Linked DNA regions of Drosophila melanogaster. The protein of the gene in region 3 interacts with the protein of the main gene of each other region in a pairwise test. Each region holds a gene or a part of one and is shown on either strand. Other genes may lie near its edges. The genes, in order: CG5721, CG15269, HLH54F and CG17195.

Region 1 (4,171 bases), 430 kb from region 3:
GAGTCCAGCTGTGGGTGAGAATTAACCAGGTCTAATTGACTTCCTGACAGGTGCCCGCCGAGCTCTACGAGGCAGTCACCATTTACTTTAGCGACATCGTGGGTTTCACCGAAATAGCTGCGGATTGCACTCCACTGGAGGTAAAGTACCACTATCACTTTATTCATCATATCATTTTGCTAATCAACTTTGGTTTAAGCATATCTTGTAACTAACATTCAACTTTAGTTGTATTTAGGTATAATTTGTATTCCTTTGACATTTATCTCTAATGAGAGATACATCTCACACTTTCAGGTGGTGACCTTCTTGAATTCAATTTACCGGGTGTTCGACGAGCGTATCGAGTGCTACGATGTCTATAAGGTTGAGACGATTGGGGACTCATATATGGTGGCATCGGGTCTGCCGGTGAAGAACGGTAATTTATGCAAATTCAGCTGTCAGTCATTCAGTCATTTAAACCCCGCCCGCCGGCAACATCCCACTGCTTGACTGCCCCAAAAAGATTTGCGCTAATTTAAATTTCATTTGTGGCCATGCGCGTAATTTATGCCATGGAACTTTCCGACCCGCTGCCTCTGCAGGGAACAAGCACATCAGCGAGATAGCAACAATGGCCCTTGATTTGCTGGACGCCTCGTCGGTGTTCCGGATTCCCCGGGCAGGAGACGAATTTGTTCAAATACGATGCGGTGTGCACACGGGTCCGGTTGTCGCCGGTATCGTTGGCACCAAAATGCCGCGCTACTGCCTCTTCGGCGACACGGTGAACACGGCCTCGCGGATGGAGAGCACCGGCGAGGCGCAGAAGATACATATCACCGAGGAGATGCACGACTCGCTGCAACAGGTGGGCGGATTCCGTACCGAACACCGCGGCCTCATCGATGTCAAGGTATTTGCAATCGATCAAAATCATTCTTACGAACCTTGAGGATTCTACTTAAGATGTTTACACTGCGTATGAGTAATGTTTGTAAATTACCGTTAGCCCTTAGTATAATTCAGTTCCTTTTAACTCCCATTAGTTCGCTATAGCTTTTTGTGTACCGTGTTTTTTCCATACTTTTAAAACAACTTTTTTTGTTGGGTGAACCTGCAAACTGTTTCATTTTCAGGGTAAGGGTCTAATGAGCACCTACTGGCTGACCTGCAAGGACGGACCGGTTAGGGCTCGCGAGGAGATCTCGTGGCGGGCGGACATACAGCCCGTGTTTCTTGACCACCTGAAGCTGCATCCGCCAACCGACTACAAGCTGCCAAAGCGGAAATGAGATGCAACCAACTGCAAGTTTTCCGGCTAGGCCAAATAATGCTTATCCTGGCCATAAATTCGAGGTGCTTTTCTTTTGGATGTGCATGCATTAGTGTCCCGCTCTCTCAATCTCTCTATTTAAATATCTAAGTATCTTTCCTTTCTATCAAAAAGTTGAAGTTACACGGTGCACCAAGTGTAGATAAAATATACAACATAAAATTCGTCTTAATTTTAAATTCGCTTCAAAATATAATAATTAAATCACTTCCTTGAAAAAAAGTGGAAGTGCAACTGATGCATCGTGTACAACAACTTTAAACGCTTCAATGGCCAATCGTCTTTTTACATGTAATACACAGTGCAAATCACAAGCATGCGGCCAAAATACAGACTTATGTTAATAAAAAATATGCGAGAAATACATTGTTACCATTCGTTTTCCAACCACAGTGATGGGACATATATAAAGAAACCTAAAATCTTTTCTTTCACTTCTTTAGTTATAAAATAAGGTTATAATTTATTTTTTATCAAATTCGGTGTTAGTATTAATACAACAATTTTTTTGAGTGTTCAATGGTGAGTTTTATTAAACCGTACAACGATATGTATCGAATGTAAATCAGCTGGAAGTATGACCGCCCTGCGAAGTGCGATAGTGTGACCGCAGCCACTAAATTCGAACTGTGCCTGTGTGCCTGCGTGTGGGCGTGTGTGTGTGTGTGGGAAGTTACAGAGAGAACAAAGTAAAATTTGAAAAGTTAAAGCTGCAGCTGCTGAGGGCATAGCCAAAATTGGACGAATCACTGCCATGGCCAAGGTTATATCGCAGGACACCTTCGACGATGTTGTGAAGGAGAACGTTGTGGAGTTCTCGATGACTCCTTCGGAGGCGAAAGAAGAGACCATCAAGCAATTCGAGGCACAGGTAAGTAATGTCGACATAGTCATCCAGTAGATTCACTTTAATGAAATGATTGCAGGGCATCAACCTGGCCAACATTATCAAGGACCTGTCCGTCAATCCGCAAACCGGCCAACCTGTCATCAACGAAACGGTGGACAAGATCAAGGAGCACATTGGCCAAAAACTGGAGGAAACAACGGAGCTGCTGGAACAGCTGGCCACCTTGGATGCTGAGTGCAAAAAGTCGCTAGCCCATAGGGTTCTAGCCGGCAAAAATGGAGCCCACGATGCCCTGATCACCCTGTTGGAGGAGACGCTCTCTGCTGAGTCACCCAACGAATCCGTGTTAAAAAAGTCCTTGGAAGCCATCAACAGCCTGACCCACAAGCAGCCGGATCTGTTTGATGCCGAGGCGATGGCCGTGGTTCTCAAGTTACTGGCCCTCAAAGTGGAGAGTGAAGAAGTCACCCTGTTGACTCTTCAATGGCTGCAGAAGGCCTGCATCATGCATGAAATGAACCGCCAGAATATCATGAATACCTCCGCACTCAAACTCATGAAGCCCCTTTTAGGGAAAGGGAAGGACCGCCTGGTGCGTGAACTGACCGCCGTCTTCCGCTTCCTAGTGCTGGATGATGACATTCGCGTTGAGTTTGGATGCGCCCACGAGCACGCCCGCCAAATAGCAGGCGAGGTGCTCATCACCTTGGTGGAACTTTTGCCGGCCTATCAGGATCCTAATGTTCTGGCTGATCTTCTGCTGACCATTGGAACACTGGCTGTGCGTCAGGAACTCTGTACAGCTATCGACGAGGCTGGTGGACTGAAGTCCGTCTTCGAGATCATGAGTTCGAATTTGGATGAGGTGCGTCTAAATAGAGAGGCCTTAAAGTTGCTACGTGCCCTGGCTGGCCAAGACTCCGTGAAGTCACATATAGTACAGCAGGGCGTGGCTCCTATAATAAAGCAATTGCTAGAGACGCACCAGTCCAATGAAAACATCGTTGCCGCCGCTTTGGCCTGCGTGACTACTCTGACACTCCGAGTGCAGGAACACAGTGCCGCCTTTTTCGATACCGGCATCGCCGAAGTAATCGTGGAGGCTCTTCGCGCCCATCCCAAACACAAGATAGTCCAGCGAAACGGAGCGTGGGCCATCCGCAATATGGTGTCACGGTCGCGGAACCAGTGTGAAACCTGGATCTCCTTCGGCGTTGAGGATCTACTAAATATGGCAATGAAGGAGCACCCCAGTGTGGAGCAGGACATCAAGGCGGCGTTGCGCGACCTCGGCTGTAGTGTCCACTTGCGCGAGGAATGGACGGGCACGGCGGAGAAAAAAATTGCCGCCTAATCGCACACACATATGCCTTTTGTATTTTTATATATTTACTGCTAAATTATTACTATTGCTTAATTCATGCATTGGCTAACTAACAAAATCGGCAATCCTCAATACCAATCGCGTGCTAATACCCAACTGGGGCAGTCTCTTATGATCACATGGCTGTGGACTTATTTGCCCAGGTTAAAGTTGCGCAGCGAGCCGGCTTTAAGACGCTGGTTGACATTCCGGGAAAGGGCGGTCGAGGATCTGATTGTGGAAAGACCCTCTTCCTCGGCGCGCTGCGCAAAGGGGTCAACCTTCTCAGAACCGCCCATTCCATTGTAGACAAAATTTGAGCCCGTCGTGGCCGTCAACGCAGAACTACTTGAACTTCCCAGCAGCAGTCTTGGCTTCTTGAAGATTGAATACTGGGGGAATATACGGAATTTTTAAATGGTTAAGTGGAATTCGGCAAAATTATTGCGTTTACCTTTTCACTGAGATCACTGCTGGTTTTCCGTATGGTTCCGCTGGTCATAGACACACCGCCACCGACTCCCTTGATGGGCGATATTTTAGACTTGGCCAGCCCAATGTTACCCTTAGTATTAAGAAGATGCGCCAACCCGACGCTGCTGGATTTAATGTTGAGATATGGGGAGGTGGATTCTTCGAT
Region 2 (6,035 bases), on a different chromosome or scaffold from region 3:
GGCTTTCTACGGCCAACTGGACGCACCGCAGCCTGGGTCCGCAGGCACGTTTTACTGATTTTTTTGCGCTTTTCCTGCGTTTTTTATGCTCGCTTATATTGTAAATTTCTAACAAAATTTCACAACACGGTCATACCAGACGAAACGGTACCACTGACAATTGCCTTGACTTATCGATATATTAACAGACTTTCGATTTTTGAGGGGAAAAGGGCTGCCAACTCGGTTTTAGGACAGCTGTGAATACAATTTAACAGCAAGATTTCGTTTAGTTACTCAACACACCTACAGTGGTAATAAACTATCAGGTGGCGCCATCTGGCTGAGTGAGAGCGCACTTTTAAATATGTTAAATGTACTGCAACGGTTCGTTCATTTGTTTACTAAAAAAACATACATCTTTTAATTTTTGTCACTAGAAGATTTGAATTAAATAAGGCTGCGTTATCTGATTATAAGCGAAATTACCTAGTTGGACTCCCAATCATATCTCCAATCCAAAATATTATTTCTAGAATCCTGGAATCCTTTTGTATTTGATATTATACTTTATTGACTGGCCAATATATATGCCTATTTTAATAATAATTAATGTCTATTCCTAATTTAATTTCTAGCAAAATTATTGCTTGAAAATAAATGTAAATTGAATAACAACAGTGGAAGTACTGCACTTTGTAATTGCCACAAATTTGGTTGAAACTGGCCGGGCACAACGATTCCACCCATTTAGAATGTCCTGAGATTGCTGAGAAGGGTTTGCTGACTCGGCGGTTGGGATGGACCAGATCCAGGTGTTAGAACTCCAGGAGGTGGCGGCATTTGAAATGTTTGAGCCATGGCCATGGCCAAAGTGGGCGGTGGACCTGTTTGTTGTTTTCCCGGTACTGGAAGTGCGGATGATGTGACCGTGAGTCCATCCAACGGACGGTACTGACACTTCTTAGCGTGGGTTCGCATATTGCTCGACTGGGTGAATGCCTGATTGCAGTTGGGATGTGGGCAGACATACGGCTTGCAGCCTGTATGGTAATTCAGATGCGTCTTTAGGTGATGCTTTTTGGTGAAGGCTTTGGGGCACAGGGGGCAGCTGAAGGGCTTGATTCCCGAGTGGAGGCGATGGTGCAGGGTCATGTTGCTGCGATCGGCAAAGGACTTGCCGCACACGGAGCACTGATACGGTTTCTCACCACTGTGCGTCCTCATGTGCTGTTTGAGCAGCATTTTACGCGAAAATCTCTTTCCGCACTCGTTGCATTTGTGGGGTTTCACGCCGGTATGAATCCGGACATGCATATTGAAGGCCACACGCTGATTGAACGATTTGGGACAGTAAGGACACTCGTACTCCTTCCGGTTCCGGTGAATCTTTAGGTGACTGCTCAAATATCCCTTATCGTTGAATGTCTTGCCACATTCGGGACACTCGGCGGCAAACTCCTTGGTTCCTCGGTGAACGGACAGGTGATATTTGTAATTTCGCAGCTGGGAGAAACCCTTTCCACAATCCGCACACTCGTAACGCGGCGATTTGTGCGTCTTTTCATGAGCCTGAAATAAGAACATAATAGACAAATAAGATAAATAAATAAGATACATTAGCTTAGCAATAGTAATATTGTAGCAATAGTAAGAGATTTAAAATTTTAATAAAAAACCTGAGGTAGTGAAAATCTGTTGTGAAATTCATAAAACAGCGATTTTCTACAAACTGTTCGTTAGTTAGTTAGTTTTTGGAAGGGAGGCTTTCAAGATGAGTATGTTTAGCAACATTTTAATTAGGTCCTAATATTAATACCTTATTCTATAAGTTCTAGTGAGGATTGGAAGATTTCGAATATAAAGTTACTGAAAACTGAGCTTTGGACACATTTATACTTATACAAAATAAGCCAGAAATGCAAAAAATACCATGGTTACACATTCGAATGTTCCCCATTGTTTGTAATAATTTTGTTGCAACTTCAAATGTGGCTTGCTTCAGTTAGCTACTGAAATTGGTGTTCTTTCCCAAAGTGGCCATTTTGTGATTACCTCTCGCTCGGCGTCTGGCCCTTTCTAACGTATCTTGTAGCTGCACCCATGCGTAAAACCAGTTCTCTCTTTTTTGCCCGCTTCTGTTTCTGTTTTCGGCCGACTCCATTTTGAACTCGGATTGCTTGCGAGATTTGCATAAGGCACTCAATTCTTCGCTGCCTCTCTCTTCCCCACTCCACTTGAATCTCCACTCTTTTCTTCGGAGCTCCGCCTTCCAATTAGACTACTGTTTCTCTGTTTTTTAGGCCCCGCCCAAATCCATATGGTATCTCTGTTGGTGAAGAAACCCGTTTTGGGAGGATCTCGTGTGGATGTGGACTTTGAGGACCGGCCAAACGATATCTTATGTGATGTATGGCCATGTGAAAGGTTAATGCTGTTCTTGGCTTAGATGTTTTGAAAGGAGTTAAATTCCTAAAGTTATTTAATGGCTTTGCAATAATAATTCTCAATCATTTAGTACTCCGCATAAACACATATTTCTTTGTGATAAATGTATACGTAACCGTTGATGAGATCTAAATCATTAATTTTTTTGTTACTTATAATTAAAAAAAAAAATACGCGTGCATTTGCCAAATGCTTGTGTGTAAGTACAAACTCTTTAAGTGACTTTACGTATAAGTTTGATTGTGCTATTTAATTTATAAGAAAATTTCATACAATCGTTCATTTCGTTTCGCTTTTTTTATAACTAAACAGCAGCAAACTGAAATAAAATATAATCTGGCAAATCTAAATCATTTCATTCTTAAATTCTAATTGGGAATTGCATATATTTTTTGAATATTTGTATTTCATTTTTTAAAAGTTGAAGGTCTAATGAAATAAAAAAAATTAAAATTCTGTCTACACTATAAATATAAAAATTTGTTTCGTGGGTGTTTTGTGTTTACTCGTTTTTGAGGGATTTTAAGAATAAATTGAATCCTTGGGTTAGAGTTTGGAATATATTTAGGATGAATTATCTTTTCTAAAGCTAATAACTGATAACTAAACGCTTTGGTTGTCATAAATGATATATACTTGTAAACAGAACACCATCGTAATAATAATTTAATAACAATAATAAAATCTCACCTGCAGAGTTTCAGAGCATCCGAATACCTTCTCGCAAATCCGGCACTTGTAGCTGATCTCCTCGGCGGATGTGGCATTGTATCCACCGATACCACCGATTGCTCCACTGTTGCTGCCGACGGCTGTGGTGATCAGTCCACCGGTCATCTTGGGCATCATTCCGACGGCCGTTGCCTGGACCGAGTTCAGACTCAGATTGGTCACGGTGGTCAGTGAGATGTTAGTGCTGGCGGCTCCTCCAGTGGCACTCATAATCAGATCCCTCACAGGACGTATTGATCCGGTGGAACTGCTCACCGAGGAGGCGGCGGGTGAGATGAGAGGTGCGGTCTGCTTATAGCCACCAGTCTGCAATCTTTGGTAATAATCCAGGCACTCCGGGCAATCCGGACGAGTGCATGCGGTGCTTTTGGTGCGTATGAGAGGTTGCTGTTGCTGCTGCAGTGGTGGTGGTGGGGGAACCGATCCATTGATCACATAGGGAGCAAAGAAGCGTTTCTGCTGATTTGGCAAATGCTGCTGATGCTGATGTGTTTGATAGGGCGACGTAGGAGGAGTACTCAAGCCGGCAGCCGCTGCAGCAGCCGCATAGGCGGGCAGTAAGTGCGGGAAGAATTGGGCATAGAACTTGGTGGCATTGGCCATGGCCACCAAATCTGGCGGCAACATGGAGTAGGCACCGGAGGCATAAGGAGTTGATGGTATTGCCAGCCCTCCAAGAGCCTGTGGGCTCCTAATACTGTTGCTACTGCTCTTGGATAGATCCAGGATATTCGTGCTCGTATCCTGAGCGGATTTACGCTCCTTGCCCAGAATCTTACTGATGCTAAAGTCAGTGACTTGAGCCGGTGGCAACTGTGCCCCAGCTCCCAAGTTCTGGACTCCATTGGTGGGTGAAGTACGCGCCGGCGAGGGCGAAAGGTCGTAACTGCGCTGCAGCATGGCGTGCTTGAAACCCATTCTTCTCCACACCGAAGAATCACTCATAGACCGCAGGCGTTACCGTTTCGGATGACTATTTTCTGAGGCGTAGGCGCTTTTTAGCCCGGGGAACTGTCGCGTTACGCGTCGAAACACGAAATGTCTTGGCCTCACAGCCCACAGCAGCCGTCATCGTCTTTTGGCCGGGCCTAAAGCCTGGCTTACGCTCCCGCTCTCGAATTTAATTGGTCGAGAAACAGGTTTGACCGTACAGGTCGGTCTCGCTCCGTATCTCTCTCTCTCATAGACCGGGAGTCTCTTCTCCAATTAACCAGGTTTGACTGCTGGAGACAAACTGTCGCGCCTCCAATTACGAGAGGAGCTGCAATCTGCAGACCCAGAACCATTTGCTAGTAGCGTTCTACTAGTCACATCTATCATAAACCTTATCGCTCCTTTCAGATCGCTCTCCGTGCACTACTCTCTTTCATTTTTTTTATCCACTGGACCTCTCTGATAAAGTGACTAAGATTTCGTTTTGGCCGCGTTGTTTTTGTAATTAATTGCGGTAATAAAATGTGCGCATCGTTAAATTTTCAAAATGTATTTCTCTTGTTCCTCATCCACACACACACATTCTCATCCCCGTCCACATTCACATCCTCGCTGATTCCGAATCCGATTCCCAGGCATGTGTGAATCTTACGGTTATGCGCATGCGCAGCGATCATCTCTTGAGGTGACTTGGTTCGTCACGGCTCTGCAGTCTTAGCCATGTGTGAGTGTGGGAAGGAATTGAAGCTAGGGACTAGATGACATAACCGTCAAACGATCGTCAAAATGGTGTATAGGAAATCAGGTATTTTTCTTGCGAATTTAAAAAGGGTTGTTAACGGTTCATGATTGACCACACTGGCCAAAAAACTTAACGTAAGCCCAAAAGGTCTAAATAATCATATATGGATGATTATGACACCCTCTTGAAATATTTTAGTAATTAAGGACGTGCTGTGCCATTAAAGTAAAGTAAAGAATTTTTAAGAAACAACAATTTGAACCCAAATATTTTTCCATAAATTTATTAAAAAATAGCCTATGCCAATTAAGGGTGCCCTACAAATACCTCTTTCTGAAGCATTTAAGCTTGATCCACTACATTTAGTTGCCATCCAAGAGGGACTGTGACCACTTCCTCGACTTGCATAGCATCAGTAGCGGCCATAAAAATGTGCAAAACAAAATGCTCCTCAAGTGATTTGTGATTGGATGAAACGCGCATAAATAACATGGTATCCAGGCCGAGGATTCGGAGGATCCATACACAGGTGAAGTAAAATGGTGACACACCACGCGAATTCAAGGAAGCTGCAGATACAAATGAAGTGGTATACATTTACAGCTACATGGAATGAGATCCGGTGAAATGGAGTTGATATTCTGACTCACAAGGATTGGAGGATTGAAAGTCTCTGTTTTCTAATTGCCAATTGCCGCATAGAGAGACTCTAATGCGCAAGGCACAATCTTGCACACGATTTGTCCACGATCACTTACAAAACGATCTTATCAGGATTACCTGGCGGAGAAGCCCCTTCAAATCCTCCGCGCTAGCCAACTACCGATCCTCTTGCCAGTGATTAATAATGGTTTGACTGTCAACACGCGCTGCTCGCTTTGGTTGACCACGATCTGCATAAATTTTGATTAAACAGGCTATTCATTATAATTATACATATGAGGACCGGGCGAACACCACAAAACTTGTTCAACCTTAGTTGAAAAACTCTTTTTCGTATTTCGTTTTTTTTTTTCAGTTCGGTTGGCATTTCGTGGAATTCCGCCAGATAATTTACATATGCGAAGCGAAGGAAACTTAAGTTTTAATTACACTCACTAAATCATCGGGCCTCTGCAGCAGACTCCAGGAGACTTTGTTTTGTCGCATGACTAATGTTTATTAGCTGCTAATGGTTTGTTTTACAAAAGCTACGTGGCTG
Region 3 (5,296 bases):
CTTACCCCTCGCAGTCTGCTCCAGCAGTAGATCATCCACTCCGCAATTCTCGATTACCTGTGCTCCGAGATTAGTGGCTGCCTTTTTGAGGGCCGCACACAGCATCGCCGGATCCATGACACCATCACCCGGAGAATAGAGAGCGCCCACAAATGCCGACGGATCGAGGAGGGGAAATAACTTTTGGGTGTCCTCCGGACTCAGCACTTGGTTTTCAATACCCAAAGCTGAGCCCACAGTGGCCAGTCTGCGATACTCGTCCAGTCGCGTTTCATTGTGAGCAATGAAGATGCCACCATTTTGAATCCATCCCGGATCCAGCTCCGTTTCCTCCTCCAATTGCTGCAGCATGCGACGTGAATTAGCCAGCAGCTGAATATCCACATCGTTGGGACGCAGGCGCCACAGCAATCCAGCCGTGTGCCAGGTGGTTCCGGCCGTAAGTTGGGCGCGTTCCAGGAGCACGGCCTTGACACCACGTCGTGCCAGGTGATACAGTGTGTGACAGCCCGCCGAACCACCGCCAATAACCACAACATCTGCTGCGCCTGGCAGGAATCCACTTGGTTCCCTTCGAGCTCCTCCATCTTCCCTCACTTGTTTGCTGATTCCACGGCGCGAAGCTTGCTGCAGGATGCGATGGCGCCACATCTCAAAAACGGCCGAGCGCGACGACTTTAGAATCTCAACTGAATTCTCGAGTTAAAAACACAATACCGCCATAATAATCTCCCGCTGAATTGATCGGATAACCCATGGTTCAGCATCCTGATAAACCTGCTGTGCCAGTGACGTTCCATCCATGACTGGAGGCCCTAATCAAGGCCACGTTTTAGGGTCACAGCACGTTTCTTATCTGGGTTCGGAGGCGTGGCAAGTAGTAAAATTAGTTAGCAGCTACGTAGGTCAAAAAACAATTTAATCTGAGCAAATTTTTAGTTTCAATAAAGATGCGGTTTAACAGATGCTTCTTGCTAATATGTTGTGGTTTCAATTAATCCATTCATATAAATAGATTTATTAAACTCTTGCTTTTCTTTTAAAAGCACTTAAAGAAAACGTAAATTCTATAGATTAAACAAAGTGTTGCCTACATATATGTACATATATTTTCGAGTATTTTCATTTCCCGCAGAAAATTTGAAAAGTCAAAATCGTTCTCGGAACTTAAAACTCCCCACATAAGCAATGAAATTTTGGACCCATACTCAAATGCCAACCATCGCGGCGACCCCAAACAGGATACGCAGTTGAACCCCAGGATTATAATCTCTTCCGATCTGCCATTAATGCCTATCTCCAAATGCACTGCGAGATCGAATACCAGGTGGTGCCATCTGGAGCCGGAGTCTTGGCACGCTTCGCACTCGCCCGTCGCACATCCTTACGGCACAACATCCCCACTCCAACGCCCGTAGTGAACCGGATAAACCGAGCGTTTCATTTTGAATTTTCCCGCAGACCGACGGAGGAACACTGTGTGGCCAATGTGGTGGCAGCCAGAAGGCAAACAACCGAGAAAGAGACCGCCGATCGCACCATGTGTCCGGATTCCTCCGCCAATTGGGACTGTTTGCGGAGCAGGCACGCCCACCAGAGGTGCCAGAAATAGACGGAATCTGGAGAGCTGCAAACTGCGGAGCAGAATGCTCAAAAAGGAGGATCTCCCCGTAACCCGTGACAGAAGTGCTCTACGTGCCACGCAGATCGGACGTATTCGACTCACAGATTGGTTTCGGTTCGGTGCGTTTCGATTTTAAGTGAGAAAACTGAGTGATTGGAATTTTATATCCAATTTGAAAATATTCGAAGTGATTCTTGTGATACCACCAACTTGTTTTTGAACAATGCCACGCAAGAAGCGCAGTTCCAGCCCCACGGAGTTCTTTGATGACGACTTCGATGAGGATGCCAGTTCTCAAAGTGAGTTCGATTTCAATTTATAGGTGATTTTGTACTTATATTAAAAAGATGTATTATAAACGCTTAAAAACGTTGACAATGTAAATATGTTTAGCTAGTTTTGTAAATTTATTATTTACTTTAAAGTAAAATTCAATTTCCTTAGAATTTTTTAAATCGAACTTTAGAATTTACCTTAAAAGGAATGTTAATTTAAAATGCGTTAAGCTCTAAATGAAAATATAATAATAATGATAAAAATTATAATAACAGAAAGCACAATAGATATAAATTGAGTTTAAAATTCATACTCCATATGCTTTTTGAACTTCATACTTTGCGAAGATATCTATAATGTAACTTAAAACTTTTGTGGATACCAATAAAACCTTTTGTTTCTAATTAATCTCTTGTTATTGGAGCTCCTTAAGATGTATCTACATTTCTGATTTTCCAGGCTCCCAACCGCCGGTGCAGCGAAATGCGGCAAATGCCCGGGAGCGGATGCGTATGCGGGTTTTATCCAGCGCCTACGGACGTTTGAAGACCAAGCTGCCCAACATTCCGCCGGACACGAAGCTCTCCAAGTTGGACACGTTGCGTTTGGCCACGCTCTACATCAAGCAGCTAATTACGGCTGTGGAGACAGGCAGCCACTCGCAGAACCACCCGCACAACCACAACCAGCACCACAGCCTCAACCACAGTCACTCGAGTACCACCAGTTCCGAAGGCCTGGACACAAGTCACATGGCAGATTCGTCCGGTGGAGGCAATTATAATTTCCACAACAACGGACACGGCATGGTAAGTGTCATGCAATTGCGATCCCCCTGCCCGAATATAAGTGATGTCACTGCCACCACTTAACGATGCACTGCACCCGCGGCTCGGGGGAACGGGAACGCATTAATGAGCCGGCCACTTCAGGTGGATCTCGTCAGTTAATGACAGGTGTCGCAGGGGATGCCCAGTGATATGCCCAAGATCAATGTTTATTCATGGATTTCAGTCTAATTGAGAAGTAATGTTCAGCCGATCGGGATTCCCATAAGTTTATGTCTTTTTATGGAAAGTTTGGTATTGGGAATGAAAATTTTTCTTTTATGCGTTTTCTTTGAAAAGCCATTAAGGAAATAAAGTAGGTAGATATTTGTAAATTTTGCTAGTTGAAATTAGCCTTTCGTAGAATTTTAACTTAGAGATCGTGGAAAGTTACACGGAAACCCAGGCTTCAGTGTTTAAAATTTAAAAAATTGATACTATTACAATTTAAACGTATACGCAATCTATTATTCTCATTTTTTTTTTAACAAGCAACTTAAGTATTTAGTAATACTACTCAACTTATAGGGGTAATTCAACGCAATTTTAGCGAAATATAGATCAAAAATCCAAAGGAATGTGGTGCAACATCTGCTTGGTGATGCGGACGCGATGCGGCGACAAGTATTTCCACCTTTTCTAGATGTGGAGGTGAACCACAAACGTAACCACATCCACATCCCATGACCGGAGTCAGCCATTCAGCCGGGCCCCCCACTAGAACACCGAAATCACATTTTGTGATTTCAGACTGCCTTGCTTTCCTGTAATCCGATACTTTTGTGAATTTCGAAAATATTAAATATGAGTGACAGGCTGTTGGTGGAGCGGGCAGGGAACGGAGATGGTAACGCAGACCTGCGGATCTGGATGGGGGGCACTAGTTAGTCTTTGCTTTTATTTTTTATTTTTAAAGATGCTCTTGATGCTTTGAAGCGACACAGTGAATGACATGCGAGGGAAAGTGTCATCCTCAGTAGTTTTCCCACTCGGATTATTGTAATTAAAATTTGTCTAACCGTGTTTATCCATCAGCCATTCCCGCTGGAGTTTACACAATCTATCACTCAAGATTCATGGCGTGCACAACTTATCTAAATAGATGCAATTGTTTACACACCGAATGCGTGAAAAATTCAGCAAATACGGCTCCGTCTTGTGCCCATATGGTGGCAAATCAGATCGGATCGGAGAGTCCCGACCCTATCCGAATTTATACCATCCACGCGCCCAAGATGATCTGTTGGGAACAACCCATTGGTTCGCTATTTGCTCGCTAGCCCTAGCATCCCTATATCCCATTTCCAATCCCTCATTGTATGGCATACAAATGAGTGTCTCTTGTCCGCAAGTGTTTGGCTGTTTATGTTTTTATAGATCCGTTAATGAGGCTGTTATTGTAGATCTAGACGTGGAGGCGGGGGTGGGCACTAAAAACAATCAAAGTTGCGTAAACAAACAATGGCGCTGTCTCGGGATGGGTTGTCGTCATATTGTTCCATATATAGCCCCTGCGGTTTCCACAACTCCTATGATTTATGCCTGTTTTATCCACACATTCCACATTATACTGTCTTGCAGAGCTGGCCCTTTGAGTTCCACCAGAGTAGCCGGAGTTTGGCATTTGCCCCATCATCATCAACCACCTCATCCGCCCGTATGGATTGGCAAACCCTGCATACGCAATCTTATCCGAAGACTACGCGAGGCGAAACCCATGTTTCGGCGGATCTAAGTTACCATCAGTTGCCGGAATCTCACAGTCACTGGTATCCGGCGGAAGTGCATCAAATGGAGCCAGCGGCCAGCTGTTCCTATGACTCTGGAATGGGGCAGCATCAGCGGGGCATAGCTATAGCCACTAGCCATGCCCATGGCATTTAAGCGGATATTATAAATAATGTTCTGACCTAAGCCAAATGAATTTACCACCTAGTAAGTGTATTAAATCGTGATTTAATTTTACGTGTTTCCGTATGTGCAAGCCTGAACCTATGCTATAAGGCCAAAGATTGGTGTTACCTCATGATCATTTAGCTAGCAAATATATCTATGTTTTTAATAAAATTGGAATTTTTGAATTTTTTTGAATTGGCGCCAAGATTATGGTGACTGTATCCCTGGAGTTGTCGAGTGCTGCCGTACTTGTTTGTATTTTGCAGCCCTGTTCAACAGCTGATTTCGTCACAATACAAACAAAGAGCTGCTAAAAACAAAATTAATCTATTAATTAAGGCGGAATTCAAATACCCTACTTTTTTTAAAACGGCTAATTTGAGACATTTTAAAGATGTTATTTATGCAGAAAGATGTAGTGAATTTGCATTATTCACTTGCAAACAAATTATACGAACAAAGAAGCTTATGAAAGCAATCTTATTTAAATTAGAAACAAACTGAAAGAAAACGCCCAAGTACTTTTTACATGCAGTGTATTTATTTTGTGTATTTACTCATAAATGTAGCCCAACAACAATGGCGTGAGAATAATGGTTGTGCTACAGACTATTTCAACACAAAAGCGAACTTATTACATGTGTATTTTCGCGGTTAAAGTTCACGTCGTTCG
Region 4 (3,403 bases), on a different chromosome or scaffold from region 3:
GTCGAATAGCAGCACAAAATGGCTGTTTGTTTGCTTCCGGTCTAGGCCAAAGACGGCAAACACATTTAGCCACGAAGTGAGGAAAGTCCCGCCCCGCCCCATCGTACATATTTTATGCAAACGAAAAGCAAACTGCCACTCTACTTTACGGCAAAAAGAAAAACCACCTCAATAGGTGTGCCATACACCTCAGTGAACTTAAAATGAAAAACCGCGTCCTCACCAGCTTTCCCACCCGACCAGGCCACATTCAAAATGCTTAGTTCATATTAATAATTCATAAAAATTTATGCGAAATAGACAACATTCGTTCCTGCGGTCTAAACCTGGCCGACAGCTGCCATTTTGCGGTCGCTGGGCTGATGAAGTCGACTTAACCCAGCTGTTTCCTACATGTATTTGATATGCATTCCTCGTTGTTTTTATTCTGCTCTTTGTTTATACAACATACAGCTGCTGCAAAATACCATATTTTGCCATGCTGATGCCCTTTTTCCCTCCATTGTTTTTTTTATTTCAATTTATTTTCTGCTTATAAGCTTGCTTTATAAGCAAGGTTTTGCCTATACTGCTTTGAAAATGAAGTAAAAATTTGAGAAACTTTTAGGTGAAAACATTCCATAAGCCAAATCTTTTGAATTGTAGAATTCACTTAGAAGCGCCACTTAAATAAAAATTTTCTGCCTTCACAAATGACGCCAGCAATTATAAAACGTAATTTCGCAATAATCCGCTTAAAAAGGAAAAGAAATTGAATTTGAAACCACCCACCAAAGTACACATACATACAATGCCAGATTTTTACAATTCAGTGGGTGATGCGATTATGTCAGTTAGATACATATTTCCAAATCAAGGCAGTTCTGGTGCCCAAAGTCTATTAAAAATAATTTATTTGATAAATTTAACAATACGTCTGTCATTTATAAATGCTTCGATTTCGAGTTTTATTAAGATCTACTTGCGGTTGGAGTAGAAGAATGTGTTTTCGAGCCGAGGAAGGGTTTCATCGTCACTTTCAACTACATCGCATAAAAGTTATGGGCCTACTTCATCCGTTTTGTGCAATATTTTTACTCTGTCTGATTGGATTGCTGTTTGTCTATGAATTATGCTACGTTTTGCCGCAAATAACTGATCCCCATGGTATATGGCACAAATTGTGTTGGTTTATGGGAATTTATACAGTCATCAATATATTGGGCAACTGGTGGCTCGGCTGTATGACCAATACCTCAGTCGATAGCTTAGTTCTGGAAAGACAGTATCCTGTGGCAGGTGAGGCTCACCTGTGGCACTACTGCTCCACATGCCAAAAGCTGGTGCCACCGAGGTCCTGGCACTGTAGTTTGTGCAACATTTGCATTCTGAAGCGGGATCACCACTGCACCTTCTTTGCCAGTTGCATTGGCCATAAAAATCAGAGGTATTTCCTTGCCTTCTTGTTTCACCTGAGCTTTGGCAGCGGACAGGCGCTCGTCTACAATGGCATTTTGAATTGGACAAACAAGGCCTTTTTGGTCGTCGATCCTTTGTTGCTAATGTTCCAGGATACAACCCAAGATGCTGATTTCAAATGGAAGTACACAATCGCCAACCTTTTCAAACTGAATTTATTTCTTTTTGGCGTCCCCCTCTTCATGTTCGTCTTTCAAATGATAATGGTATATCGGAATAGTACATGCTATAAGATGCTCGATCGCAGCTATGATGTTGGTTGGAGAAGAAATTTTGATATGGTCTTGGGAAAACGGCGCTTCTGGATTTTTTTCTCTCCAACGATCTCAAGTCCTCTTCCTACCGATGGCACTCAGTGGTTCCAGAAGCAGACAGTGTAAATTTTGTTTGTAAAAACTTTGAATATAAGATAGCGAATAAATTCTATTATAATATGTCGGGTTGGCGTTTCTTCTTCTGTGATGTAAATGTTTCTATTTAGTCTATAATTTACAACAGAAGTTTTCAAAATCCTAAAAAATGTGCTACGTGAATAGATTTTGCCATTACTTTGCCAATCGCTACCCGAAGAACTTTGTGAGGATAGTGCATCCACTTTCGATAGTTTTCGTCCTGTGCAGCACAGCTTTCTTCTTCTCACTGCAGATGTTTTACATTGCGCCCAAAGTGTTTGGCGACATTGCTTACAAGCTCTACTGGATATTGGTCACCTTCATAACGCACAACATACTTGGTAACATGCTGGCCTGCTATATGACTAGCTCATCGGTAAACACCTTGTCCAAGGACTCCCGATGCCCGAATCCAGAGGATGAGCCCCTGTGGCACTATTGCGAATCGTGTAAAAAGCTGAGATCGCCACGATCCTGGCACTGCGTTTTGTGCAACACCTGCATTTTGAGACGGGACCACCACTGTATATTCACGGGCACTTGCATTGGACACAATAATCAACGCTTTTTCTTCTGGTTCACATTTTATTTAACGCTCGGCTTAGTCACAAGCTTTGCAACATTTTGTATGTTTATCCTGCAGAATGGCGGTAACTTCATGAGTCTCTCGTCTGTGATTTTTAATTTAATAACTAGGACTTTTTTCCAAAATTATACTGGCAATACTTTTGAGACCATTGCCTTCCTCTTGAATATAAGCGCCAGCTATATGCCTGCCTTTATGTTGGCATATCAAATGCAGATTTTAAGCCAAAACTCTACCTACTATAATATTTTTGATTGCACCTACGATCTGGGTTTCCGAAAGAACTGCCAGACAATAATGGGCCAACGAGGACTTTGGACTTTTATATCGCCCTTGCTGAAGAGTCCTTTGCCCCATGACGGTGCACATTGGCAGATGAAGCAGTCTCACTAAATTAATAGACGTATTACTAAATTATTGAAAAATATATATCGATTTTAACAAGCCAATCATAACTTATTTTCATCTAATGTCAAGTTGTGGAAAATACGGTGTTGTATTCAAAATCCTACAATCATGTGTATCGTAAATGATTGGTGCCGCGAATATGCCAATCTCTATCCTAAGAAGGCCGTGAGCATAGGACATCCTTTGTCAGTGATTTTTTTACTGGTGAGCACGGTTTTTTTCTTCACGCTGCAGGTCTTTTATGTGGCCCCCGATGTGCATGATGGTTTTATGTATAAGTTCTTTGTGATATCAGCGATTTTTACAACATACAATATCCTGGGAAACTTGCTGGCCTGCTACCGTACAAGCTCAGCAGTGAAAAGTCTGCCTCAGGAGCGGCAAATTCCGAAACCGGGAACGGAGCACCTGTGGCATTATTGCGATATCTGTCAGAAACTGATGCCTCCACGATCCTGGCACTGTGCACTGTGTAAATGCTGCATTTTGAAGCGAGACCACCACTGCATCTTCGCAGCCACTTGCATCGGACACAATAATCACCGATATTTCTTCTGGC

Evidence for each region.
Region 1: the proteins of HLH54F (region 3) and CG5721 interact in a two-hybrid assay, tested with the Drosophila melanogaster proteins (one large-scale study listed by BioGRID).
Region 2: the proteins of HLH54F (region 3) and CG15269 interact in a two-hybrid assay, tested with the Drosophila melanogaster proteins (one large-scale study listed by BioGRID).
Region 4: the proteins of HLH54F (region 3) and CG17195 interact in a two-hybrid assay, tested with the Drosophila melanogaster proteins (one large-scale study listed by BioGRID).

What each region holds. Positions count from the first base shown.
Region 1 is NT_033778.4:18,181,892-18,186,062, reverse strand, and holds CG5721 (uncharacterized protein), read left to right. Parts: upstream 1-1,972; 5' UTR 1,973-2,072; coding exon 2,073-2,189; intron 2,190-2,244; coding exon 2,245-3,522; 3' UTR 3,523-3,628; downstream 3,629-4,171. Other genes in the region: CG33958 (uncharacterized protein), read left to right, coding at 51-140, 298-421, 588-898, 1,122-1,277; nopo (no poles), read right to left, coding at 3,684-3,923, 3,986-4,171.
Region 2 is NT_033779.5:15,107,609-15,113,643, reverse strand, and holds CG15269 (uncharacterized protein), read right to left. Parts: upstream 4,240-6,035; 5' UTR 4,060-4,239; coding exon 3,118-4,059; intron 1,552-3,117; coding exon 730-1,551; 3' UTR 552-729; downstream 1-551.
Region 3 is NT_033778.4:17,755,728-17,761,023, forward strand, and holds HLH54F (HLH54F), read left to right. Parts: upstream 1-1,677; 5' UTR 1,678-1,847; coding exon 1,848-1,923; intron 1,924-2,359; coding exon 2,360-2,709; intron 2,710-4,308; coding exon 4,309-4,611; 3' UTR 4,612-4,790; downstream 4,791-5,296. Other genes in the region: Sardh (sarcosine dehydrogenase), read right to left, coding at 1-651.
Region 4 is NT_033777.3:25,775,756-25,779,158, reverse strand, and holds CG17195 (uncharacterized protein), read left to right. Parts: upstream 1-1,960; 5' UTR 1,961-1,977; coding exon 1,978-2,829; 3' UTR 2,830-2,883; downstream 2,884-3,403. Other genes in the region: CG4956 (uncharacterized protein), read left to right, coding at 930-1,838; CG17196 (uncharacterized protein), read left to right, coding at 2,953-3,403.